7 linked regions of the Nothobranchius furzeri genome follow. Each later gene encodes a partner of the first gene's protein in a complex. Links are inferred from orthologs where the notes say so. Each region holds a gene or a part of one and is shown in the gene's direction. Other genes may lie near its edges. The genes, in order: lin9, mybl1, rbl1, tfdp1a, e2f4, rbl2 and lin52.

Region 1 (3,500 bases):
ATGGGTTCATAAATGAGTGTTTAATGTCTCTGAGCAGCTCTAGAGTCAAATATTTATGCTGCAGTTCAAGTCTGTCAGAAATGACACCAAATGAAATGTTTGACTTAGTTTATTTTATTTGAACCCAGTGGTTCATTTCTGAAATGTTGGAGCAGGAATCAAGTTCTGTTTGATGCAGAAAATAATAAAACATCAAACTAATTATACACTTCCAATAATATTTAAGATGTGTGTTTTATTCTTGCTGATAATAACACCAGCAGAAGGCTGTGGGCTGGATTAGGATTAAATTACCCAGCTGATGGATCTCCTTCACTAACCAGCTAACTACAAACCTTTCCACTAAGCTGTCCTGTGGGACCCTCACCATGTAACCCTCCATGCTGTCTCTGGAGGAGCAGGTAGAAGACAAGATCTCCTGTAACTTAAAATGAACCAAAGCTTCCTCCCAGTTTCTCTTTAAGCTGAATTTAACATCATTTTATCTTCATGAAACAAAAGAATTAAGTGGAACAAGAACTTCTATCTTCTATTTCGCTCTCCTTTTAACTTCTCCGTGTCCCTAAATTAAAGAGACAGACGACCACGCTGCAGCCGCCATCACTGACCCCGCCCCCTCCCCAAGACCGGATCTCCCAGCATCACAACACTCGGTCTGACTGAGCGCTTCCAGGAGAAACAATAATTAAATTATGAAAATAATTATGCGTGTTTGGAGCATCGGTTTGGAGGAGCGTCCTCCGATCCTCTCTCTTGTGTGAGCAGACAGTGTCTCTCTCTCTCTCTCTCAGTCGTTGATCGAGCGAGCGGAGCGCGCCGCATGACGACCCGCTCAATTAACATAATTCGCAGCCCAATTCCAACAGAACCGGTTGGGCTGATTCGGTCTCAGGTTACAACTCTAGCGTTCAGCCCTGCAGTACCACATTAAGGCGGAACCACTTGGTAAATGTGGAGGACGCTCACTGACAGATTTGGATGCTGCGCTGGTGCTGCCGTTAAAACAAAACTACATTCCACCATAATCGATTATGGCGTACTCTTCTACGACGCAGAATCGTTTATGTCCGCATCCCGATGCATCGATTATTTGATTATTTTCCTCAGCTCTACTGTAGAGAGCCGTTCATCTTGTCTTGTGGTAACGAACGTCCCCGAAAGTCGGCAAAGCGCGCTCGCTTAACCCCCTTCCACCGCTGCAACCATGTTGCTCTTATCACACACAAACACACACGCTCTGATGGCTTCGCTTCATTCAAAGGAGCCAGTCTTTTGAACGGCTCTTTGAGGTAAATGACCGACTAAAGAATGACTGCCATGAAATGCCATAAATCTCATCACTAACGCACAGTGAGAAGAGTTTCACTTTTGGACACCAGGGGGTGCTAAAAGCAAGCCAAAACTACATAGTTTCCCTTTAATTGCATCATTGATTTTTGTGTTTATGGCCTCATGGCTCTTGTGTATCTGCATGTGCATTGATGGTTGTCTTGCATTTGTCTCTGCAGAAGTTTTCAAACATCATGACACCAGATAAGAAGGCTTCACAGAAAATAGGGCTGAGATTGAGAAACCTCCTTAAACTACCCAAAGCTCACAAATGGTGCATCTATGAATGGTTCTATTCCAATATCGACAGGTAACGTCTCACTTTGGAAGATGTTGGTCATTTACACACAGACATATTTGAGTTGGTCTGTTTTATTCTCCAGGTACATTTATAGTAACTTAAGTCAACCTAGATGTACAAAACAATTTAGTTCACGAGTTAATGTCTTGTTTAATTGCACTTTCAAAATAAATTTGTTGTTTTTTCTTCCAGACCTTTGTTTGAAGGTGACAATGAGTTCTGCTTGTGCCTCAAGGAGTCTTTTCCCAATTTGAAAACAAGAAAATTGACCAGAGTTGAGTGGGGAACCATCAGGAGGCTGATGGGAAAACCTCGACGGTACGCGGTGGTCTCTACGTTTGTTGTTCCCCGTGTGTTTCACCTGAATGTTGAAGCCTCAGATCAAAGCCGGTCGATGTTACAGTTCTGGTTCTGTCGACACATCCAGGTGTTCATCGGCTTTCTTTGCTGAAGAGAGAACCGCGCTGAGGCAGAAGCGGCAAAAAATGCGCCTTTTGCAGCAGAGGAAACTGTCAGATGTGTCAAATTGCAAAGACCTTCCTGATGAAATTCCTCTGCCACTCATCATAGGGACAAAAGTCACTGGTAAGATCACCAGTTTCACATGTACTGATGATTCTGCAACATTTTATATGACTTGTTTAAAAAAAGTCTATAGAAAATCCTTTCCACTAATGAAATTATAGAAACAGAGTAAGTGTCTGCTAGTTTGTAGTTTTCACAAATGATCTGTCTTGTTCACGAGTGAGGGAAAGATGGAACGAGAGATCGATAGGCGGATTGGTGCTGCATCTGCAGCGATGCAAGCGCTGTACCGGTCTGTCGTGGTGAGGAGAGAGCTGAGCCAGAAGCCCAAGCTATAGATTTATCAGTCGATCTACATTCCCATCCTCGTCTTCTCACCTTCTCAGTGGCCTAGTGGTAGTGTCGGCCCTGGGACTGGGAGATCAGGGTTCAAATCCCGGTCGGGTCATACCAAAGACTTTAAAATTGGGACCCAATGCCACCCTGCTTGACACTCAGCTTTTAGGGGTTGGATTGGGGGGGGGGGGGGTTAACCCACCAAAGAGTTCTCTAGCCACTGCTGCAGCTCACTGCTCCCCACGGGGATGGGTCGGATGCGGAGATGTATTTCACCAGTATGTGATGATTAATGGGATTTTGCAGGGATACAAGCAGCAAAAAAAAAAAAAAATCTATGCAGGGTGTCTGGGTTTTTACAAAATAATGCCGTCATTCTGCCACAACCCCCGTGGCGTCATCAGGGACCCTTAGATTGTTTATAGGTGGTCAGACTGTGGTGGTAATGTGGCACCATTGTGTCTTTTTTTATAAAAGTTTAGGTGATGGCAGCATGAAGGAGGTATGGGGCGATCTCTGAGATGCCGCAGATTTCTGTTTATCTTGAACATAACTTGCTTTTTATTGCGAATGAAGCCACGATCGTTTTTTTAACAACCCGCTCCTAAAGTGTTCTATCCTCCACAGTCCATGTGCAGTCTCCGGTGATCTGAGCTTCAGCTCTAACCGAAAGAAGCTCATGTTTGCCATCTCAGCTGATTTTGTTCAAAAAGCAAAACTTACTGCCCGTGTTTACTAGAGCTGAGGAAAATAATCAAATAATTGATGCATCAGGATGCGGACATAAACGATTCTGCATCGTAAAAGAGTACGCCATAATTGATTAGAGTGGAATGTAGCTTTGTTTTAATGGCAGCACCAGCGCAGCATCCAAATCTGTCAGAGTGAGCGTCATCCACATTTACCAAGTGGTTCCGCCTTAATGTGGTACTGCAGGGCTGAGCGCTAGAGTTGTAACCTGAGACCAAATCAGCCCGACTGGTTCTGTTGGATTTGGGCCGTAAATTAA
Region 2 (3,395 bases), on another chromosome or scaffold:
CCTCTTCCTCTGCAGGTAAGTGAGTGGGAAGCAGTGGTTTATGGGAAGACTGAGGACCAGCTCATCATGACAGAACAGGCTCGTCAGTACCTGAACCCCTTTTCATCGTCTGGCTCTACCTCAAGGGCTCTGGTGCTTTAAAGGCCATCCCCTTCAGCTAGCAGCATTACATCCGACTCAAACGTCCACCAAGTCCCCGTGGGAGACAATCCACGGAGCAGAAACACCGTCCACATACAGGCACGGCTGCTGGTACTGTTAACGCATGCTTAGGTCACGTAGTTCATACTGATCAGTAGCTTCAGACTTATACAGTGGGGGAAAAAAGTATTTAGTCAGCCACCGATTGTGCAAGGTCTCCCACTTAAAATGATGACAGAGGTCAGTAATTTTCATCATAGGTACACTTCAACTGTGAGAGACAGAATGTGAAAAAAAAATCCATGAATTCACATGGCAGGATTTTTAAAGAATTTATTTGTAAATCAGGGTGGAAAATAAGTATTTGGTCAATAACAAAAATTCAACTCAATACTTTGTAACTTAACCTTTGTTGGCAATAACAGAGGTCAAACGATTACTATAGGTCTTTACCAGGTTTGCACACACAGTAGCTGGTATTTTGGCCCATTCCTCCATGCAGATCTTCTCGAGAGCAGTGATGTTTTGGGGCTGTCGCCGAGCAACACAGACTTTCAACTCCCTCCACAGATTTTCTATGGGGTTGAGTTCTGGAGACTGGCTAGGCCACTCCAGGACTTTCAAATGCTTCTTACGGAGCCACTCCTTTGTTGCCCGGGCGGTGTGTTTGGGATCATTGTCGTGTTGGAAGACCCAGCCACGTTTCAACTTCAAAGCTCTCACTGATGGAAGGAGGTTTTGGCTCAGAATCTCACGATACATGGCCCCATTCATTCTGTCCTTAACACGGATCAGTCGTCCTGTCCTCTTAGCAGAAAAACAGGCCCAAAGCATGATATTCCCACCCCCATGCTTCACAGTAGGTATGGTGTTCTTGGGATGCAACTCAGTATTCTTCTTCCTCCAAACATGACGAGTTGAGTTTATACCAAAAAGTTCTACTTTGGTTTCATCTGACCACATGACATTCTCCCAATCCTCTGCTGTATCATCCATGTACTCTCTGGCAAACTTCAGACGGGCCTGGACATGCACTGGCTTCAGCAGCAGAACACGTCTGGCACTGCAGGATTGGATTCCCTGCCGTTGTAGTGTGTTACTGATGGTGACCTTTGTTACTGTGGTCCCAGCTCTCTGCAGGTCATTCACCAGGTCCCCCCGTGTGGTTCTGGGATTCTTGCTCACCGTTCTCATGATCATTTTGACCCCACGGGATGAGATCTTGCGTGGAGCCCCAGATCGAGGAAGATTATCAGTGGTCTTGTATGTCTTCCATTTTCTGATAATTGCTCCCACAGTTGATTTTTTTCACACCAAGCTGCTTGCCTATTGTAGATTCACTCTTCCCAGTCTGGTGCAGGTCTACAATTCTTTTCCTGGTGTCCTTCGAAAGCTCTTTGGTCTTGGCCATAGTGGAGTTTGGAGTCTGACTGTTTGAGGCTGTGGACGGGTGTCTTTTATACAGATAACGTGTTCAAACAGGTGCCATTAATACAGGTAACTAGTGGAGGACAGAAAAGCTTCTTAAAGAAGACGTTACAGGTCTGTGAGAGCCAGAGATTTTCCTTGTTTGAAGTGACCAAATACTTATTTTCCACCCTGATTTACAAATAAATTCTTTAAAAATCCTGCCATGTGAATTCATGGATTTTTTTTCACATTCTCTCACAGTTGAAGTGTACCTATGATGTAAATTACTGACCTCTGTCATCATTTTAAGTGGGAGAACTTGCACAATCGGTGCCTGACTAAATACTTTTTTTGCCCCACTGTATTTTAACATATTATTTAAAAGCCGACATAACGATACTGGTGTGTCTCGCCCCGTTGCTGTTATGAGATAAAAACAACACTCATGCTGCCGTTTTTAAAATCACACTAAATCACACTTTTAAATACAACACCAATCATTGTTTTTCATTAAAAAAACAGCAGCGTGGTTGTTGTAACAGTATGTGGGAATGTTTTCTGTCAGTATTGCACTACTGAGATAATTTTGCTGCTGAGGAAGGAGCGTGATTATTATTATTATTTTTTATGAGCAGACTGGATAGCACTTCTGAATAACAACACAACGTTTCCTTTCCAAGGCCATAAAAAAATCAGCTGAATGTATTTCATTGCAATGGAAGAACCTCAAACATGGAAGGGTACTTTATTGTTTATTTCTAATTGTTTTATTTATTTTTCAGTTTTTAAAGCTTAGATATTAATATAAATCAGACAACATAAGGTCTAACTGCTGACAAAACAGCCTAAAAACTCTCTTGCTCTAAGCATTGCTACCTTTTATTTTTCAACTTTCAGTCCCGGTGATTCATTCTGACTTCATACCACAAAAATCAAGCATTTGGCTGAGAAGGATTATAGTTTTCATGTGAAGGCTGTAGGTTCTATTTATTTACTATTTATTTATTTCTTTGAAAAAGAAAACCTTTAAGAAGAATTATTGAAGAATTTTATCAATCTTTTCACTTTTAAAATCAGGATTGGGCTACAGTTCATTTTCCTGCACTGCCATTCATTTTAATTTGAACTTCTCTTGATCGTACGAGATGTAGAAAATAATGTTGTAGATATGTGAGTGATGTTGTAACATAGATGAGGCTTTTTCCTCACCTTTAAATTAAATGTCGCTGTTAGGTAGCAGGACACCATCTCCGACCTCTAATCATGGACAAATTGCACTTTTTATTCATTTGAATAAAAATTTTAAGTTCATTTGAAGGATGTAGCTCTTGTTTATGTGTTTTAGATGTGTTTCTGTCTATGTTAGTTACTGCTGCTTGATTTTCTCCCGTTTGGCTGTGAAAAGGTGTGTTAAGTTCTCCTTGTCCAGTATCTCACTAGGCTGTTGACGACCAGACAGCTATGCAAACTTGAAAGAAAGTCGACACATTTTCAATTTAGAACAAGTCTAAATCGGTTCTTAAGTTATTCTTTTACGAAGTTTTATATTGTCAGTTCATGAGGGATGTAAGATGTAACAAACCGCTATTTAGTCAAGTCAAAATTTGTTTAACCCTCCCACCGTCCTAATGGGTGTGACCCTGTGAGGAAAGCTGACCATTGAGCGGGGTTGATGGTTTATCCCTTGGGTCCATGTGGCAGGGGTGAGGAGTGAGCACCACCTCACCCCTGCCACATTGACCTCAAGGGATAAATCACCAACCCTGCTCGATGGTCAGCTTTCCTCACGGGATCACCCATAAAGACAGTGGGAGGGTTAAAAAGCACATTTAAGAAATATCTGC
Region 3 (3,500 bases), on another chromosome or scaffold:
CATAAATAAATTCTGAAAATCAGCTGCAAAGCGTGACAGGAACATAAGAGTTGTGTGTGCAGCTCAGACAGTGACAGAACTGCATTCAACACTGTGAATCTGATACAGCTTCTTAAAAAAACAACCGTCTTTTTCTTCAGGGTTCCCAGCAGTTAATCACCTGTCTGCATTTAGTTCTATTCTGCCAGCTTAAAGACAAACACCCCAAATGGAGCTCATTACTCGGAGTTCACAGCAATGCGTCGGACAAAACACGAAGCCAGCAAACATCAAAGTGTGTAGTAAAAAGCAAAGAGAATTGTTTATGAAGAGTAAAAGGTCTCAGCAAAACATAAAAAAGCAGTCTGTAGTTGCGAACGTCTGGTTTTAGCGTCTCCTGGAGGTGCGGTATGTTTCCTTCTCATCATTACAAACGCATCTCTCTGGTGTTTTGCAGAAAAGACCAAACCTGCCATTGGGACGTAACTGCCCAGTCACAGGAACATGCATTGCTTATTACAGCCACACATTAGACAACTTGGATGTGTTCTCTTTCTTTCTCCTTTCTAATGCATTGCCGAAGAATTAGATCGGGACTCGGAATCGACAGATACTCAAAATCTCGGACTTGGATTGGGGGGGTGATCGGAACAGCCCTCATTTTACACTTAGTAAAATACATTGAAAGGCTCCCTAATGTTTCTTTTTTCTGTCTTGTTTACAGTCTGATCCAGTTCTTCTCAAAGATGAGGAAGTGGACCGACATGTCCAACCTCTCGCAGGACTTCAGGCTGCGAATGGACCGACTGGAGCGAAACTTTGAGGTTTCCACTGTGATCTTTCGCAAGTTTGAGCCCATCTTCATGGACTTGTTTCAGAATCCACAGGGATGTGATCCGCCACGTCAGCCGCGCAGCAGGAAGCACAGGCATGACACACGCGCACGCACGGTTTTTTAGACCCTACATTCCCAAGAACTATGTATTTTCTTCACGTGGAAAGTTCCCCTAGCTACTCCCTGCCTAAGCCTTTTCTTTCAACTTTATTCTATTTTTAAACATTGAATGAAACTTTTCTGATTCTGAACAAGGATGAGCTTAAACTGGGGATTATATTTCACACACCGGTCAGACTGAAATCACAAACAGTGCCTTAATTTTAAAAGTGGAACACAGAGTCACTAAACAACGGCATATTTGTCTCCTACCTCTGACTGCAGGCGACTGCCCTGCCACATCAGTGATGTGTTCAAGTTCTGCTGGACCCTGTTTGTCTACACTAAAGGTACCAAGAATAAAACCTAACAGCTGACTGACTCGGGCTGCACGTTTAGAGTCGTAGCTTTAACTTTTCTGCTTGGAGTCAGCAAATCAGCTGATGTATCTGCAAAATATCTCATGTTTATAGAATCTTACTGCTGAGTTTGACACTTTAACTTCACAAACAGCTAATTTGTTATATCTAAACATCAATGAATCAGCTTGTTGTAGAAAGGTGGGATTTTATTTTTGCTGTTGTTTGATTTATGCGTTTTGCGTCTCTGAAGGTAACTTTCGTATGATCGGAGACGACCTGGTGAACTCGTACCACCTGCTGCTGTGCTGCCTGGACTTGGTGTTTGGTAACACTCTTCTGTGTGCAAACAGAAAGGATCTCATCAACCCCGTGTTCAGAGGTAAAACTTTGAGCTCCTCTTTCAGTTTCCACCTTTTCCACATTAGGAGATCTTTAAAATGCATCCAGATCTTTGTGCATGAAGCCACAGATGAAGCTTCTAAACTCTTTCAACTCTTGATGCCAGATTTAGTATTTGTGTTGGATGAAGCTCCTCCTCTTGCAGAAGCTGTTTCCTTTCGCTACAGCAGAACAGTTACACTGCTTGATGAGTGTTGGCATGATCACATGACTTCCTGCAGGTTTGCCCCCCTCTTTTCGTGCCGAGAGCCACGTTTCTCGAGGCGAGCCTCCTCCTTGTGTGTTGGAGAAGTTGTGTGAGCTGCATGATGGGCTGGTGGTGGAGGCCAAAGGCATCAAGCAGCACTACTTCAAACCGTTCGTGCAGAAACTGTTCCAGAAACAGGTGCACATCTTCCTCACTTTAAAATATCGGCTGATACTCAGGATTTGTGTTGTTTTTGAAAAATAGTTTAAAATTTTTTTTTTTGTTTTCTTTGTGCGTAAATCAGATTTTGAAAGGAAACAAGGACCTTCTGACTGAAATGTTAGATCCTCAGAACTTCATAGACAACAAGTAAGCAACAAGATACGTATTGTTCCGTCTCCTTGTGAAGTTTCTTCTGGTGTTTGTTTTTTCTGCAGTAAATAAATTATTTTAGTGAATGATTGTTTTGTCTGTGTGCTGTCGTCTGCAGCAAGGCCCTGAACAGGGAGTACGAGGAGTATGTGCTGACGGTGGGAGATTTTGATGAGCGTGTGTTCCTGGGAGCGGATGCTGATGAGGAAATCGGAACGCCGAGGAAGATTGTTCAGGAATGCACTGCAAGCCAAACGGTTGCTCAGAACCAGCTGCAACAACACGTGGAGAAGGTGCAGACACTAACATGGAACTGCTGATCCCTGAGGTCCCACCATCACCTGATGGAGATGTTCGGCCCTCGTTTATTATACTTCCTTTATTGTTAGGTGGTGTTGAGTTGAAGTTCTGTTCGCTTTCCGAAGATCTCTCTTTATATATCGCCGGCACTTTAGAAACTTTAAAATTTTTCTCTCTTAATGCTAAAAGCTTGGATGAAACAAATCAGCCGACTGCAGCTGTTTAACATTCTGAAAGGAAAGTCGTTGATGAGTGGGACAAAAACAGTCACATCTGTTTTCCGTTAATCTTCTCTTTATGCTACAAGCTAAAAGTTCTTGTTGCTGAAAGGCTCTTTGACTTTGTGGACTTCTGTTACGGGTTATGGAGTCCAAATTAGCATGTTTAGCTGCCTTTAGCATGTGTAGAACAGGGGGTGAGTTGCTGTTCCAGATCTGCAGGACTGATGTTTAAATCACACCCGTTTGGAGCCTAATCTCTAGGAATGGTTTTCAGCATTTTGTTCTGTAGCTTTCTTCAGCTAACGAACAAGAAACGGCGTGAATGTTGTGGTTTAAGGAGCTCTTACAGGACCAAAGACTAAATAATATCTCCTCCCTTGTGTGCAGTCCAGCTCTCTGGCCCCGTCCACCCCTCTGACCGGGCGGGTCTACCTGAAGGAGAAGGACCTGCTCGTAACTCCTGTCTCCTTGGCCACGCAGAGCGTCAGCCGGCTGCAGAGCATGGTGGCCGGTTTAAGAACGTCCCCCAGTGAGAACCTGGTCCAGATCTTCAAGTCAGTCTCCTTATTTAACCTTTTTTTGTTTGTATGTTTCTGTTGAACAAATCAGAGGAACATAAACTAAACAAGAGAGCGTGGAGGTGTTTTATAGCAGGAGGTTAGAAGATTATCAAGTAATGGATAAAATAAATAAATTCATAAAGATTGTTTTGAAAGTTTTGTTTATTGTTTATTTTCTGTTCGTGT
Region 4 (3,970 bases), on another chromosome or scaffold:
AAACTGGTGACAACTGGTTTTGAGTAGGGAGAAAGAGGGCCAAGATCAACATGACGATCCACATTCCTGCTGTTGGGGTGAAAAACAATGAGCTCTGTCTTTCCCTCATTCAGATGCAGAACGTTGGCCATTAGCCAAGACTCCACCTCGTTAATGCAGGACACAAAGGACTGGATATAGTGACCTTTCTCCTGACACAATGGAGCATCAATCTGGCAATCGTCAGCATAGAGATGGAATGATAGGCCATGTTTACGAAAGATTGACCCCAGAGGAAGCAGATAAATGGCAAACAAAAGAGGACCAAGGATCGATCCCTGCGGGACCCCCCAGCGGAGCCCCTCCCAAGAAGAAAAAACATCACCCAGTTTAACGCAGAATGTTCTGTTGTGGAGATCCAAACCAATCCAGAGCAGACCCTTTGATCCCAACCCATCGTTCCAAGCGATCTAGTAGAATCGCGTGGTCAACTGTGTCGAAGGCTGCCGTCAGGTCTAACAACAGAAGCACCACAGATGTACCCTGATCTAGTGATAGATAGATGTCATTTAGGACCCTCAGTAGAGCCGACTCTGTGCTATGGCCAGACCTGAACCCTGATTGGAAAACCTCAAACAGATCAGCGTCAGCTAAATGTGAGACCAGCTGCTGATAAACGACTTTCTCAAGCAGTTTTGATGTGAAAGGCAGGGTAGAGATAGGCCTGTAATTTTCTATCACATAGACATCAGCATAAGGTTTCTTCAGGGTCGGCCGAATAACTGCTGCTTTCAAAGCAGCTGGGACCACACCTGTGCAGAGGCTCCCATTGATAATCTGACCAAGTGATGGGCCAAGACACGGAAAGGCAGCCTTCCAATTGTATACATTGTATGCAAATGTATTTGTTATTTTTTTAAATCAAATTGTTCTCTTAAGTGTTGGTGCTGCTGTAACAAGTGAATTTCCCTACTGTGGGATTGTTCTATTCTATTCTATTCCATTCTATTCTATTCTATTCTATTCTATTCAGATATATCAGCTGAAATTTGGCATCATTCAGTGTGGTGTGTGGTATTTTTTTCAATCGAATTAAAGAGGAAATAAAAGTGACAGGCCTAAAAACTATTCCTGGTAGATATAATAGCGACTAATGAAAAATCCTCCTCCTACTCCTGCGCAACAGATGGCGGTAAATGCATCCCTGCAGCTGCCTGCTCTCCACCAATCCCAGGAGAAGTAGGTTGTGGGCACGACTCACGTCACTGCTATGGTTACGTCACACCAGTGTTGTCCAATCAGACGCCGCTGTAGCGAGACGCCGCCAAGATCAGATTGTGAGAGGCACTGCTGAAAGCGACAGGCTAGCAGAGAGCCGTGGAAAGGCTAGCTGACGGTGTGCTAACGTGAAGTGCTCTGGTAAGATGCATCCACTGTAGGGTGGCTTCCCACCCGGCGCAGACCAGAGCTCATATACAAGTGTTTAAACGGCCTTTATGTCTTGGTCGACATGAAAAAGTGTTGATATCACACGAAGCTAACAATGGTAAACTTTCTCGATGACAGCTGGTAGTTAGCTTGCTGGCTAGCTAGTGGGCTAACAAAGCGCTGGAGGTTGCGATTTCTCATTGATATCGAGTTAGCTCGTAGCTTTGATAACCAGTTGCTAACTAGCGAAGTGTTGATCATCGATCTACTTAACGATCTTGTCATGGTTTCTATTACCACGGTTATAACTTACTAAACAGAATATGCAACAGGACTTGTTTAAATAGTCCGCAGACATGAAGTTTGAAATATGTAACTCATCTGAATGTAGAAAGAGCTTTCACTTTCTTTTACTGTAACGAATTAAAATAAACAAATTTTATTTGTTTAAGCCACATATTCATTTAAATAAAAATTTAAAGCGTGATTAATTGGCTTGAAACATTTCAATGAAGTTTTTAACTTTTTCAAAAGTGTACTTTTTGCACAAAAAGCTAAAATATCGATTAATTAGATTTGTTTTGTTCTGATTTACTAGGTTGTTGTGACCAAGAGGCCCATGAATGAGATCAAAACTACTGAGAACGTTTAAGAGAATGTGATCAGTTGTAGCAGATAATTGCGGAATCCCAAAATATAAAATTACTTTACATTTGTATAACTTGTTTATTTCCGATTAACATTATATATTAAATTTGCTATTTCAACTGATTCCTTTTGCAGGCCCAGGTCCCTGAATTAATGGTGTCAATATAGTTTTTTATTCACTTCTTTGACTTAATTACTTTAATATGAACTCCTTTTAGAAGAAATGTAGATCAAATCTATGGGCTTGATCCACACATTATGTTGTATGTTTATTAAATTGAAATGTAGTACCTGTTAACATACTGTTGTTTATTTACCATAATATGCAGTTTTAAAATGTTAGGTTTAATTTAACTTGAAAACTGGTTAGTGCATTATATTCATGACAAAAATGTTGTACAGCTCATTTTGCTTGCTTTTGTGATCAGTTTCTCTGATGAGATGAATGATGTTTAATGGTTAGTCAGCTGCCAGACTCGACCAACAGGCAAATCCTGGTATCAGTTTTTGACATAGCGACAAAAAACTGACCTGAGGAAAAACAACTCTTTAATCATATGCTTAAGTTCTTTAAAGGAATAACTTTGATTTATGAATAAAATAGTTTTAAAAGTACATTAGGATTGCTGAGTTTGTTTCCTGTTTGGATGGGATTTAGACCTCCTCTTCCTCCATTCTCTAATGCCAACAACAACAGCCGTCGAAGAGACAAGAGAGTGCACTCGTAAGTGCACGGATTCGCAATTTAAACCCCTCTAATCGTGCAAAACGCGCAGTGCTTTTTTCCAATATCAGTTCTTACTTAAAGAAGGCTATAATCTGCAGCTCGGACCAGAAATCTCTGAATTTTCTGCCAATCGTGTGAAAACGTGCATAAGCTAACTAGCAAGCTAAGGAGCAGCAGGCTGTTAGCAGTAACGGTTAGCCGGCTGTAGTCAACAAAAGATTGTTCATTATTACTGACATGTGGTGTGAAACCTGCTTCTGTGGTGGACTGATTTACTATCTGTAACTATATTTTAATCTCCGTGGAGAAAAATCAACAGTTTCGTCAAAGTTGGCACGTTTTCGTGACCTGTAGCAGAAGTTGGACGATGCCTCTCCTCCGGACGTGATCGGTACCTGAAGTAGGCCTTGTGCACACATAGCTTGGTAAAAGTTGTGGGCATCAAGTGAGGGTTGACTGTGCTTTTTTGTGTTTACATCTAAAGGCTAATGACGCAGCGGTTTGTACAATTAGCTGTAATTTCCGCCAGGTTTGTTTTGCTAACTGAGGAAAAAGTGGAGTAAACATGATGATGGAATTAGCTTAGTGTAGTGTGCTGTGCTCATAGCCAACCATTGAAATGGGCCTGGGTTCATAAATGAGTGCAAAAGCTCATTCAAATCCATCTGTGCCGTGGGGATTTATAGGAAAATGTTATAAATAAGTGAAGCTTGAAACTTTTGCTCACAGCTTTCATTTCTTCTGCAGGGGTCTGAACACTTGAGTGACAGAAGGAACAATTTTTTAATCTGAACTAAACTCCTTCAGGTCCTTTGGGATCATGGCTAAAGATGTGAGTAATTTCCCTCAATATTTTCATCCATATGCACATTATATCTTGTAGCCAGATGAGATGGTTCTTGTTGTTTTAGCATACCTATTATTCTAAACCATCATTAATGTTTGACAATAAACCCAAATTGCAAAATGATCCAATTACCCATTTGGTGTAATTTAAGGAGATATGCACACTTAAGCATCCATTATTGCATCACTACTATCTTATATTATTTTTAATATTCTATATTTGCAGCATAATGAGTTTTGTCTTTTACAGGCTGGTTTGATTGAAACAAATGGAGAGCTGAAGGTTTTCATCGATCAGAATCTGAGCCCTAGCAAAGGTATAACTGAACCATCTTTTGACTT
Region 5 (2,941 bases), on another chromosome or scaffold:
TGATGGGAAACGTATTTAACGGTCAGGTTTTTCTCTTCAAACGTTCAAACTTCTCAAGTTTGGTAAAAAATAGTTAATTAATGTTAAGGCCACAGTTTTGATTCAGTAAAAGCAGCTAAGATGGGAAAAAACCTTCTGCTTTGAATTTCAAGTGTGTGGCCATTTGTTTTACTTTACCATGAATTACAGAAATTTCTTAACATAGAATTTATTCTAAAGGATTACTGTAAGGTGTCCATTTAAATGTGAGCGATAGTCTCCTTCGTTACATTTGGCGTTTTGTGCAATGCTGACGTTTCTTCTGTTCCATTTTCCCCTCCAGGGTCCCAAAGGAGTTCCAGACACGGCCACAAAAGCAGCTCCTGCCTTAACACCAGCTTCTGCAGCCAACCAGACGACAACAGGTGGGGAACGTTTTAAAGGTGTAGTTCACTGAAAAACGTTTTTGATGATTATTTTTGTTCATAATCAGTCACTCTGAGTTTTTCCATGCAAGCTGAACATGAAAAAAGTCTCCTACACCTATGTCCTGCATCAGCGTCTGACAGTGGTTCTCAGTCCCGGTCCTGGAGAGCTGCTAACCAGCATGTTTGAACCACCTGTGCAGCAGCCTGTTAGTTTCCTGCTGATTGAATTCAGTTTGTTAAAACAGTTAAAACGGACGACGTGCTGATACCGGCCCTCCAGGTCCGTAATTTAGTACCACGGCTCTTGGATTAGAAAATCCTGACAAATCTACGTCACCCTGTCACTAACATTCATGGATTCACTCATCTGGACTCACGACGGGGAAGGCTGTTGTTGGTTTAGCGTCCAGGAAACGGCAGATAACTCCTCAGCTAGTAGAAGCTAACCGTTAGCATTAGCAACTCCACCACACAGCAGAACTCCTTCAGGCTTGTGTTATTTGTGGAGATAAAACATCAACGTTGCAGAGCAGCCAGAGTCAGTGGTAGAGTCGTGTTGCTGTTATCCAATCAGAGGCGAGATGTCCACATATCAGGAAGTAAGACTCCTGTCGCGTTAAGCTCTCCTTTGATGTAGCATTCTGCTAGTTCCTGAAACAAGCGCATCTGAGCTTTGTTTCCCCCGAGTACGACTTGAAAGGCATTTGTTCCTACTAGAGACTGCTGCACATGTAGTGATTAAGCAAGTAGCTCAGGAGGTAGAGTGAGCAGGTTGTCCAGAAATCGGAAGGTTCCAGGTTCGATCCCGGCTCCGACCAGAGAATGCTGCTGTTGAGTCCTTGGGCAAGACACTTAACCCAGCTTACCTGCTGGTGGTGGTCGGAGGGCCCGGTGGTACGTGTGTACGGCAGCCTCGCCTCTGTCAGTGCGCCCCAGGGCAGCTGTGGCTACATCGTAGCTCATCCCCACCAGCGTGTGAACGTGTGAATGACTGATTGTGTTGTGAAGCGCCTTGGGGGGTTGTATACAGAAACGGGCCTTTTACCGAGTGAATTATTTTCTGCTGCTTCTTCACTTCCCTCTGGAGTTTCTCACATTAACGTTGTGTCTCTGGTTTTGTTTCAGAGGCGCCGAGCACCACTCCTCTCAGCCCCGCATCACGCACACCTGCTGCTCCTCCTCAGCAGCTACAGTCATCCGCCTCTTTGGACGGATCCGCGTCGTCCTCTGTCTCTGCTGCGTTTGAACCAATGAAGTCGGATCCATCTGAATGTGAGTGTCGGGCTCTTCTAAAGCTGTGAAGGACATTTCAGAATAAGTTTTGATTGTTTTGTTTGCAGATTACATTTCAGAAAAGTTTAGTAAAAAGTGTTTTTGCAACCGTTTTACTGAAATGTTTCCCTTCAGTGTTGGACTTTCCCAAAGAGCTTTCAGACATGTTTGATCCAACTAAAGGTAAACCATTTCAGCCCTTCTTAAACCGTAAATTCAGTCACACGCGTCTCTACATGTAATAGAAAGTATTTCACGGGATGCAGCAGCTGGTAAATATGGATTTACTTTGTTTTTCTGAAAGAAATCATGAGTGGAGACCTGCTGGAGGACTTGATGTCATCAGAAGGTGAATATGATTACAGACAAAGCAGCAACATCATCACGAACAAACTGTCTTTGTGTAATTCCTGTTTGTGTTTCGCCCTCAGTGTTCTCGCCTCTCCTTCGTCTGTCCCCTCCTCCCAGTGATCATGACTACATTTACAATTTGGATGAGACAGAAGGTCTTTGTGACCTCTTTGATGTGCCCATTCTCAACCTTTGACCTTTGATTTAAACAAAAACTGTTACCCAAATATGATTATCTGTCCTCATTCTCCTCAAGTCCTCCTGCCCTGTTTTCTCCGACAGCGAAGACTAGAAGAGGGGCAGGAAGTGCTCCGAGGACTCGGCTGCATCGGCAAAAAGAGCTCCAGCCGAGTTCAGACGGGAGCGCAGAAACAAAGACGAGGACAAAACATTTTACTTACAACTTTTCCAAGGAAAAACAAGAGTCGGAATTATATTTTTGGATTCTCGTGTACAAAAAAAATTATGCTTGCGTGTCAGCTTTCCCATATGCCTGAATGTGTGTGTGGGTGGGTGGGTGGGTGAGTGAGTGAGTGAGTGTGTGTGTGTGAGAGAGTTTGCTTCTCTGAAATCGTGTCGGACATCCCCCAGGAATAAAAACAGATCCTTCTTTTCAGTCCGGTCAGGAGCTGAATAGTTTCGCTGAGTCAGCTGGTGACATATGCACTGTCCTCTTGTACATAGAGAATATATTTTTTGTATTACCTGCACACGAGGCTTATTAACAGCATTTCTAATGCAGACAGATATTTAGAAAACCAACACCAGGCCCAACAAACTGTTCTCTCCTGCATGACTAGAGCGGTGGATTTTCTGTCACGTTTAACCAAAACCGTTGGCATCAAGGTGCTCTCAACCACTTTTAGAAGAAGAACTTTAACTTATTTAAGCCAGTAGACTTTATGTAAAGA
Region 6 (4,080 bases), on another chromosome or scaffold:
CGAGATATGTATATAAACACATGTTTCTATGGTTCCTCCCACGTCCGTCAGCGGTGGGTGGGGTTTGAGCGGGTGAGTCTGACCGACTTCCAGAGAGGTTTGTTAAGATGAACGGCTCTCTACAGGGTCTCGGCTCTCATCATTCACTTTGAAAACCCGTTCAAAAGATTTGATTCATTCATGAATGTCACATCACTACCCAGGTCAACGAGGGAGTAACCAGAAAGAGCACGCTCGAGAACCTCCTCCAGGAACTCCAAAAAAAGTGGGTATAGGCTGCAGCAGTTTGGTGCATAAGCACAAACCAGTCTGGACCCGTCCTGACTGATCCTCATCACCTGAAATAAACACTAAAGTAAGATTAGTCCAACCCAGTCTTTAATAACCAGGGCTTATTAGCTGGTGTGTAATAGGTACCGCGGTACCAGAGTCCTGAACAGATGGGCCTAGGAGTAAGCAGGAAATAAAATAACAGACTTTTTTTAAATAAAAGCTTTATTGAACATGGTGATGAGTATACACACAAATTGCATGCACAATTAAACAAAATAAAATAACAGACTTTTTTTTCAAAACTTTATTGAACAAGGTGATAAGTATACAAACAAATTGCATACAAAATTGAACAAAGATGAAACATATGCCAGGGGGTGCACTACAGAAATGTTACACACATCCAAATAAATTATAGGTGGTGCAAATAGTTATAGTTTTTAAAGCTTTTTTGTTTAGTGATCCACTAATCAATTTTATGTAAGATAGAGTGTCACTATAATAGTGCTTGAAATTAGGTTTTTAGTTACTATACTTGCATTTGTGGAGATAGAATTTAGCTAGAATAATTAACAAATTTATAACAAAGTATACATCTTCCTTTCTGTGCTTGCGAAAAAAACAAAATACATTTTCCCATTTTAAAACAAAGTCCTAGCTGAAATAAAACAACAGACGTCACGGCTCTCTGCAGGCTTCCTTGCGCCACCTACTGGTAAAAGGCTGTTACTGCACCTTGTGGGCCAAACCTCAAACATGTAACACTTGATGAGGGACTCACGAGCAGCTTAACAGAACCAGTCTGAGCACCAGAGCCACGCTTTGTTGCTGAGTCGTGTTGGCTAGCACCGCTAACGGTCACGTGCTTTAAAAACAATCAAGTTTGATGGCGTTTCGGTGGACGTCAGAAAACAAGAGCAACCGGAAGTAGTTGTATTTGGCTTACGCTACGCAAGTTTAGTGGGCTGGGGTGAGTTACGTTGCTGCCGCGATTCTCTAACGTATGCACGCACACATGTGACGTTCCCTCCGTGGTTGGCTGCGCTGTGTACGTCAAAAACGTCACAGCTCGCGCATCTGTCAGAGGACATTTAAATGGCTACACAGCCGATCCGCGCAGCACCGTAATAACGCCGTTACTGCCGCTACAACTGCGCCAGCCTCGTCCGCTCCACCCTAAAGGCGCGCTTTGTCCGTTCGGTTCGGTTCGGTCCCGAAGACGAACATGAGCGACGAGGAGGAGCGCCTTGTGAAGATCCGAACCAGGTTCGAGGATCTGTGCCGAGCTCTGAACATGGACGAAGAGGCGAGTACCGAAGCGTGGAGTAGCTACGAGAACATCAGCAGGAACTTCACTCTGGAGGTAAGCAGGTGCTGGTGAGGGTTCGGTCCATTCGGGCCAAAACGTCTGACATGAAATGTCATCTAGGTCTCCAACTCAGCAGGAACCGCCTCGTTCAACATGGCAGCAGCCTTTTGCAGATGCACGCATCTCCTTTTTCTGGATGCAGCACCAATGAGGTCTGGTGTTTCTTCTGAGCTATGACTTCAGGTGTTTTCTCTCTCTCTCTCTCTCTCTCTCTCTCTCTCTCTCTCTCTCTCTCTCTCTCTCTCTCTCTCTCTCTCTCTCTCTCTCTCTCTCTCTCTCTCTCTCTCTCTCTCTCTCTCTCTCTCTCGATATATGTAGAGAGATGGAGATGCATACAATAATATAATACTCCTCTCTCTTACTAAATAGACAGGCAGATAGACCTAGGCCGGTATGTGTAGTTGTTTTCCTGAAATACACACACACACACACACACACACACACACACACACACACACTTGTATTTATATGTTTATGTGGACCTCTTTTGACTTCCATTCATTTTAGTGACTCCACTATGCCGAACCTATACCCTAACCCATAACCAGCTGGTGCAGTAATCAGAACCGTTGTGTGTGCAGGGCAGCGAGCTGCACTGGCTGGCCTGTGCGCTCTACGTGGCCTGCAGGTCTTCGGTGCCCACGGTGGGGAAGGGGACTACTGAGGGGAACTACGTGTCACTGACCAGAGTCCTGCGCTGCTCTCACATCAGGTTTGTGTGTTTGGTCCATAACTCGGCTGCTAGGAGGTCATGTGACGGGATCTGCTGAGCGGTTCTGATGTTCTTCCAGCCTCATCGAGTTCTTCAGTAAGATGAAGAAGTGGCAGGACATGGCCAAGCTGCCACAGGACTTCTGTCAGAGTACCGACAAGCTGGAGCGGAACTTCACCGTTTCAGCCGTCATCTTCAAGAAGTACGTTCCCATCTTCAGATCCATCTTCAAGACCCCATCAGAGGAGCTGCTTCGGGTCCATCGCAGTCGCAAACAGAGGTGGGTCCACGTGACCTCCGACCCTTCGTTAGAGTCCACCTGCTTCCTGTTCTGGGTCTGGTTGGCTGAAATCACCTTTGCAAGATTTAGTTTCCCATAGATTAAACACAGAATTGAACTGTTAACTAGGATGACCTTTGACCTTTCCTTAGGCGAGGTAACTTTATTTGTATAGCACATTTCAGGCATAGAAGTAATTCAGCGTTCTTTCCAGGAGTGACAACATAAATCAGATTATAATTTAAAGACACAAATAAAATTAGCTGTAAGACAAATCTCTGGGTGGAGTTCCCATCATGGTCCCAGTGTCAGACACGCTGCTGCTGGGAGGCTACGGAAAAACAAAGAAATTGCAAATATTATCGTAGTGTTTAAGAGCAGCAATACACGTGTGTAACGGTAAGCTAAAATGACATAATGTTAAAACTGCAAGGTAAAGAGAGACAGATGGTTAAAAATAACTCACCTGCAAGGCTCTAGCCTGGACCGGTGCAGGCTGGTGGAGGACTACATCAGTCTGGTTTCTTTGGTAGATTTAGCCTGAAAACAATAATAACATCACGTTGTTGTGGGAGGTTAGTAACTTAGATCATGTACAAAACTAACTGTCTAATTCATGTGCTTTATAACACGGCAATAACACAGATCTGACTGCTCTCAGAACTAACTCAGGGTCCAGAATCAGACATGTTTTAATGAGAACCGGACTCAGAACCAGTTCAGATCCGGGTCAGGTCTGCAGCAGGAGGAGCTGCTCCTCAGTGTCCCTCCAACTTTGCATCAGCGCTGAGATTACTAACTCTACCTGAACCCATCTGTGACATCGTCACACACACAACACTCACTCCGAGCCTGCGGCATTGTGGACTGATATTAGCTAAATTATGCGAACCACGTCTCTCTTACTTTGTAATTATAAATATAACAATTATAGCTGCAAAATCGGGGAACAATCTTTAGAAGCTGTTAAAAGCAGTGTTGGGAGTAATGCGGTACAAAAGTAATTAATTACTGTAATGCATTGCTTTTTGCTGTAATGTGGTAATGTAAGGCATTACAGGGAAAGAAAATGGTAATATTTACTCGGTACAATTGTCAGTAACGCGGTAATTACAATGCATTTTTAAACCCAGAATCAAGACGTGTTCCTTAAAAATTCAAATTACGGGAAACCCGAAGAAAGATCCAGTATCTGCATATATGACGTCATTTATGGACTCAGCTTTGCGGGCAGAGAGGACGCAGCGGTAACGGCTCAGCTGCGTCCTGCACGCGGCCGCTGTTATATTCACAAAATCGCTCCACTAAAACAAAATAATTCACTTGCGATCGTTCATATCAGCGCATGTTCTCTGGTATTTTGTGCTTTTCTGACGTGCTTTGCCTCAGCTGAGTTCATAATCTGTGCCCCGGTGATTTCAACTCATTACTGCTGGAGCGCCGCGC
Region 7 (3,981 bases), on another chromosome or scaffold:
ATGGGTTCTTTTTGTTCTTTGTCTAAATAGATTTTTACAAGACGGACTTAGTAGAAACTCTTGCTCTATTTTTTAAAACACTTGTTTCGTTGAAAGAATGGAGAATGTGCGCCCTCTGCTGGCAAATAACAGAACAACACAGGTTTCCAACTGCATGCAGACAAGAAGGGAGTATTTGCTGCCCTCTAGTGTCTGAAATTTGATACTGCACATCCGATTTTTAAATCCATTTAGAAGGGAATATTTAGCCTCTTTAGATTTTTCAAAAATTCAATCACATATAGTTGCTAGCTCCGCTGGCAATAAATAGAACGACACTCTAATTTCCAACTGAAATCTGGTACTGCACGTTCCTTTTAGACATTCTGAAGAGAATATTTAGCCTCTTATTTTAATAAAGCTTAAAAAAAATCCATCTCTGTTTTAACTGCTAATAGCCCCAGCTATAGCTAATAGCTAAAATTTTGTTGTACACAGAAAAATAAAATAGATTTGCTGATTTTTAATTTTTAAGTAGTTTGTACAAGTGAACTAGGCCTGGGACGATAACAGATTTTGCAGGACAATATATTGTCCAACAAATTATTGCCAATAAACAATATTATTGTTGACATTATCGAGACCAAAATAATCACTTATATAATTTTAATATATCATAATAATGCAAGTACACCCTTTAAAATGCAGCAAATAAAACTCTTGTTAACATTAGAATGTTCAGAATCGAACTTCTAAATAAATGAATAAAACAAACAAACAAAAAAAAGAAATAAATAAAACGGACTTTCACTCACTGTTAGAAAATATTGCACCAAAAACCATAAAATAGATCCTGTATTGGGTCATCAAAGAAAAAGGGTTGGGAACCACTGACCCAGACTCTTCGAACTTGGACCAAATTGTTGTACACAGATAGCAAAATCTGTTCAACATAGATTGTGATATGTAAAACCACAGATCTATTTGTAAAAACACCGATTTTCTTTTCTTTCACAAATGTTGGAATGAAATTGTGTAAAATTGTACAAAATGTTGAAATGTATCTTGCCTGGCCATGGAACTCGCTGTGTGCTTAGCACCCCTAAACCTCTGATGCTAGGATCGCCCCTGACACTTATTATAAAATTATTAGTTTATTCATTTTACCCCCAGGAACACGGCTTTGGTGTGTAAGAGTGACCTCTTGTGGTGTGTTTGTGAATTTACAAGGCTTTGTCAACATTGACTCCTATTCGTTGTCACGGGTCACGTGATTATTGTGAAGATGGCGTCTCCGAATGGAGGTAAATTTTAATTCCTTACACAGATACGCTGTTAAAAAATGTAAAATTTAACACTTTAAATCACACAAATTATTCCACGAATGTATTGATGATGTAGCTGAACACCCAGAATTCAGAACTACACATATCAGCGTTGTAGTCCGACTTCTCGGAGGTGGTTTTGTTTGACTGAAGGCTCCACTAGCCCCGGTGTTGTTAGTCCACCAACGTTCAAGGAAGAACAGTAGACAGCTGGCTGCAGACCTTCCGTAACTCCTGATATTTTAAATACTACTAGCTTTTGAGTTGCCTCTTTGTTAAATACTGGCCTAATAATTAATATTTACGACATTTTTCCAACATTTTGAGGCATTATTTGTTTCACATCAACATATTTTGAAAGGTTTTTGAAAGGTTATATATATATATATATATATATATATATATATATATATATATATATATATATATATATATATATATATATATATATATATGTACACACACACACACTATGTAGGGTCATGTATTAGGAAGCATAATGCTAACACAAATTGTTACACTAAATATTGGTTTTAAGAATAGTTTTTGAATAATCAGCACACAGTTGTTGTCACAGCCTAGCAGAAATGGTTGTATAGGGACTTGAATCAAGCAACATTTAAAAATGAAAGGTATGATAAATAAACTAAACCTCCCAAATATTAGTAATTTTTTTAAGAACAGCTGATTAATCAGTATTTATCTTGTACACATATTTTGTTTTAATACAGCCAACATATTGTATTAACTGTTGTGGTTACATTTTGACATTTGTTTGGCTGTAGTCATATGGGCCATTCCCATCTGTACCGGGTCGGTCCGGGCCGGGTAGCGTTGGTTGTTTACATATCTGGGTGGCCTGGTATTTTTCCGGACCAACCAAGGCTCATTCTCAGCCCTCTTCTCGAGGGGGTCTGCTTCAGGCCGACCAGGGCCAACACACCCACTGCTGACAGCAAATTCACACCTTCCATTAGAGCAAGCCTCTGATTGGTGGGTAGAATCAGCCCACATGGGCGTAAGACAAGGATGTGTGGAATCAACCGGGCCAGGATGGGGCCGACTGGGGCTACCCGGCCCGGGCCGACCCGGTACAGATGGGAATGGTCCATAAGTCACACATTTTACTTGTATTTACATCAAGAAGATCACATTTTGTTCTAAAGCTCTGAAATTTCTGCCTGAATTCTGAACATAATTTTACTTCCTTTTCTTTGCCAGGTGATGATTTTGAAAGCTCTTTGCTTAGTTTAGAAAAGCTGGACAGAGCGTCACCAGACCTGTGGCCTGAGCAGTGTAAGTTTTCATCTCCTCTGTGCTTCTTTATGGTCCCACAGTTTAACCTTATCTGTCCTGTCATTTCTCACACAGTACCCGGAGTTGCAGAATTTGCTGCATCCTATAAAAACGTAAGATACGTTTTTTGTCATTAACTGAGATTAATACATTAAATAATCATTTAGATTTGGCATTGCCGTATAATATCATTTATTTTTATTACAGCCCATTACAAGCTCACCCCCTAAGTGGATGGCTGAATTGGAAAGCGAGGACATCGAGATGTTAAAAGGTTGGTACAATTGTTTTTTTTTTTAATATATGTTTAATTAGAAAGATTTTCTCTGTGCCTGCAGCGTTTCATGTTAAAACTGTTGTACTGGTTAGTGTTTCCATAAATATATAATCTTGTCAAGGAGAAACTGAGTTGATCAAACTGGAGCTTAAAATCTTTGCCTTGTAATCACTCTGCAGAGCTGGGTAGTCTGACAACAGCTAACCTGATGGAGAAGGTCAAAGGACTTCAGAACCTGGCTTACCAGCTGGGTTTAGAGGAGTGTAAGTACAAAACACACAAACAACATGAAAACATAGGCTGTGATGTGTTCGTGTAGTTTTTAGTTTTCCCAATCAGCTGTTTACGTCTATCACCACCAGGTGGTGCTAGTAGCCTTTCCACTACTACGTTTAGTTGCAGAATCAGATTTACTTTTTGTTTGTTCAAAATAGGCTAAAATCACATGGATGTTATTTATTATTCAAAATCAGAGTAGATGTTATTGAAAGTGCAATTGTAATTTAGAGTCTGCATAAAACAGGTTGGCCGTAAGATCTTTAAAACAAGGATTTAGGTCAGTCTTGTTAAATGTAAACAAGTAAGAAATGAGTGCATGCCACCAAGAGCTCACACAAGCAAATGCTCAAGAATATGATGGATGCACAAGCTCTTGTTTTAATCCATTCCCTCCCGCCTCCATTGTAATAATCCTTCTGGAGTGTGGATTAGAGAGATGTAGCTAAGTGCTGATATTATCCTAAAAGAAGATAAAAATGTTTTTAATGTTTCTAGCGTAAGAGAATCGTTGTACACCTCCTCTTCAGCGACATGTGTAAATAAACTGAAATGGTAGCAAATTGTGTAAAATAATGTGAGTTTAAACAGCAGGGTAGATGGCAGCCATGATGTCGGTTCTTTAATGATAATAAATAGTTTGTAGAAGGTTTAATAAAACTTTAATGCCACTTTAACAAGAAAATGTTCATCTATAATAAAAAAATCACCCCAGAGTGATCTACATTTGGTGGTAAAGCAAATCAATATTTTAATGTTGCAGAAATCAGATTGATTCATTTTGTGAAATAATTAATTTTAGAAATGATTTGTTTGCCTTGCCTCCAG

The links.
Region 2: lin9 (region 1) and mybl1 share a complex: the UniProt entries of both Homo sapiens proteins name them as parts of the DREAM complex. The link is inferred for Nothobranchius furzeri from reciprocal best matches to the Homo sapiens genes LIN9 and MYBL1.
Region 3: lin9 (region 1) and rbl1 share a complex: the UniProt entries of both Homo sapiens proteins name them as parts of the DREAM complex. The link is inferred for Nothobranchius furzeri from reciprocal best matches to the Homo sapiens genes LIN9 and RBL1.
Region 4: lin9 (region 1) and tfdp1a share a complex: the UniProt entries of both Homo sapiens proteins name them as parts of the DREAM complex. The link is inferred for Nothobranchius furzeri from reciprocal best matches to the Homo sapiens genes LIN9 and TFDP1.
Region 5: lin9 (region 1) and e2f4 share a complex: the UniProt entries of both Homo sapiens proteins name them as parts of the DREAM complex. The link is inferred for Nothobranchius furzeri from reciprocal best matches to the Homo sapiens genes LIN9 and E2F4.
Region 6: lin9 (region 1) and rbl2 share a complex: the UniProt entries of both Homo sapiens proteins name them as parts of the DREAM complex. The link is inferred for Nothobranchius furzeri from reciprocal best matches to the Homo sapiens genes LIN9 and RBL2.
Region 7: the proteins of lin9 (region 1) and lin52 are in contact, whole or in part, in a crystal structure (PDB 6C48), measured with the Homo sapiens proteins. The link is inferred for Nothobranchius furzeri from reciprocal best matches to the Homo sapiens genes LIN9 and LIN52. Residues at the interface, in NP_001353174.1 of Homo sapiens: Leu335, Gly336, Phe338, Phe342, Leu343, Ile344, Val346, Thr347, Leu349, Ser350, Lys351, Leu353, Met354, Lys356, Lys357, Ile360, Leu363, Arg364, Asn367, Thr368, Ala370, Glu371, Lys374, Ile382, Phe384, Gln385, Tyr388, Ala389, Val392, Leu395; in NP_001019845.2 of Homo sapiens: Asp61, Met64, Leu65, Leu68, Gly69, Leu71, Thr72, Thr73, Leu76, Met77, Val80, Leu83, Gln84, Leu86, Ala87, Leu90, Asp93, Glu94, Glu97, Met98, Arg100, Gly101, Leu104, Asn105, Ile106, Leu107, Glu108, Pro110.

Annotation. Positions count from the first base shown.
Region 1 is NC_091742.1:4,995,661-4,999,160, forward strand, and holds part of lin9 (protein lin-9 homolog), read left to right. Parts: intron 1-1,508; coding exon 1,509-1,639; intron 1,640-1,822; coding exon 1,823-1,948; intron 1,949-2,057; coding exon 2,058-2,215; intron 2,216-3,500. UniProt on the Homo sapiens protein: Acts as a tumor suppressor. Inhibits DNA synthesis. Its ability to inhibit oncogenic transformation is mediated through its association with RB1. Plays a role in the expression of genes required for the G1/S transition.
Region 2 is NC_091747.1:51,681,174-51,684,568, reverse strand, and holds part of mybl1 (myb-related protein A), read left to right. Parts: intron 1-15; coding exon 16-141; 3' UTR 142-3,395. UniProt on the Homo sapiens protein: Transcription factor that specifically recognizes the sequence 5'-YAAC[GT]G-3'.
Region 3 is NC_091743.1:73,531,970-73,535,469, reverse strand, and holds part of rbl1 (retinoblastoma-like protein 1), read left to right. Parts: intron 1-703; coding exon 704-907; intron 908-1,198; coding exon 1,199-1,263; intron 1,264-1,525; coding exon 1,526-1,654; intron 1,655-1,895; coding exon 1,896-2,059; intron 2,060-2,165; coding exon 2,166-2,230; intron 2,231-2,351; coding exon 2,352-2,526; intron 2,527-3,141; coding exon 3,142-3,308; intron 3,309-3,500. UniProt on the Homo sapiens protein: Key regulator of entry into cell division. Directly involved in heterochromatin formation by maintaining overall chromatin structure and, in particular, that of constitutive heterochromatin by stabilizing histone methylation.
Region 4 is NC_091754.1:25,779,668-25,783,637, forward strand, and holds the start of tfdp1a (transcription factor Dp-1), read left to right. Parts: upstream 1-1,170; 5' UTR 1,171-1,398; intron 1,399-2,654; exon of another isoform or gene 2,655-2,779; intron 2,780-3,060; exon of another isoform or gene 3,061-3,207; intron 3,208-3,529; 5' UTR 3,530-3,602; coding exon 3,603-3,614; intron 3,615-3,878; coding exon 3,879-3,945; intron 3,946-3,970. UniProt on the Homo sapiens protein: Can stimulate E2F-dependent transcription.
Region 5 is NC_091744.1:86,777,043-86,779,983, reverse strand, and holds the end of e2f4 (transcription factor E2F4), read left to right. Parts: intron 1-322; coding exon 323-404; intron 405-1,532; coding exon 1,533-1,679; intron 1,680-1,814; coding exon 1,815-1,862; intron 1,863-1,983; coding exon 1,984-2,028; intron 2,029-2,110; coding exon 2,111-2,226; 3' UTR 2,227-2,441; downstream 2,442-2,941. UniProt on the Homo sapiens protein: Transcription activator that binds DNA cooperatively with DP proteins through the E2 recognition site, 5'-TTTC[CG]CGC-3' found in the promoter region of a number of genes whose products are involved in cell cycle regulation or in DNA replication.
Region 6 is NC_091744.1:80,482,516-80,486,595, forward strand, and holds the start of rbl2 (retinoblastoma-like protein 2), read left to right. Parts: upstream 1-1,280; 5' UTR 1,281-1,498; coding exon 1,499-1,636; intron 1,637-1,702; exon of another isoform or gene 1,703-1,755; coding exon of another isoform or gene 1,756-1,794; intron 1,795-2,223; coding exon 2,224-2,354; intron 2,355-2,433; coding exon 2,434-2,634; intron 2,635-2,842; exon of another isoform or gene 2,843-2,965; intron 2,966-3,100; exon of another isoform or gene 3,101-3,174; intron 3,175-4,080. UniProt on the Homo sapiens protein: Key regulator of entry into cell division. Directly involved in heterochromatin formation by maintaining overall chromatin structure and, in particular, that of constitutive heterochromatin by stabilizing histone methylation.
Region 7 is NC_091758.1:32,967,772-32,971,752, forward strand, and holds the start of lin52 (protein lin-52 homolog), read left to right. Parts: upstream 1-1,181; 5' UTR 1,182-1,264; coding exon 1,265-1,283; intron 1,284-2,525; coding exon 2,526-2,600; intron 2,601-2,675; coding exon 2,676-2,713; intron 2,714-2,807; coding exon 2,808-2,874; intron 2,875-3,056; coding exon 3,057-3,140; intron 3,141-3,981.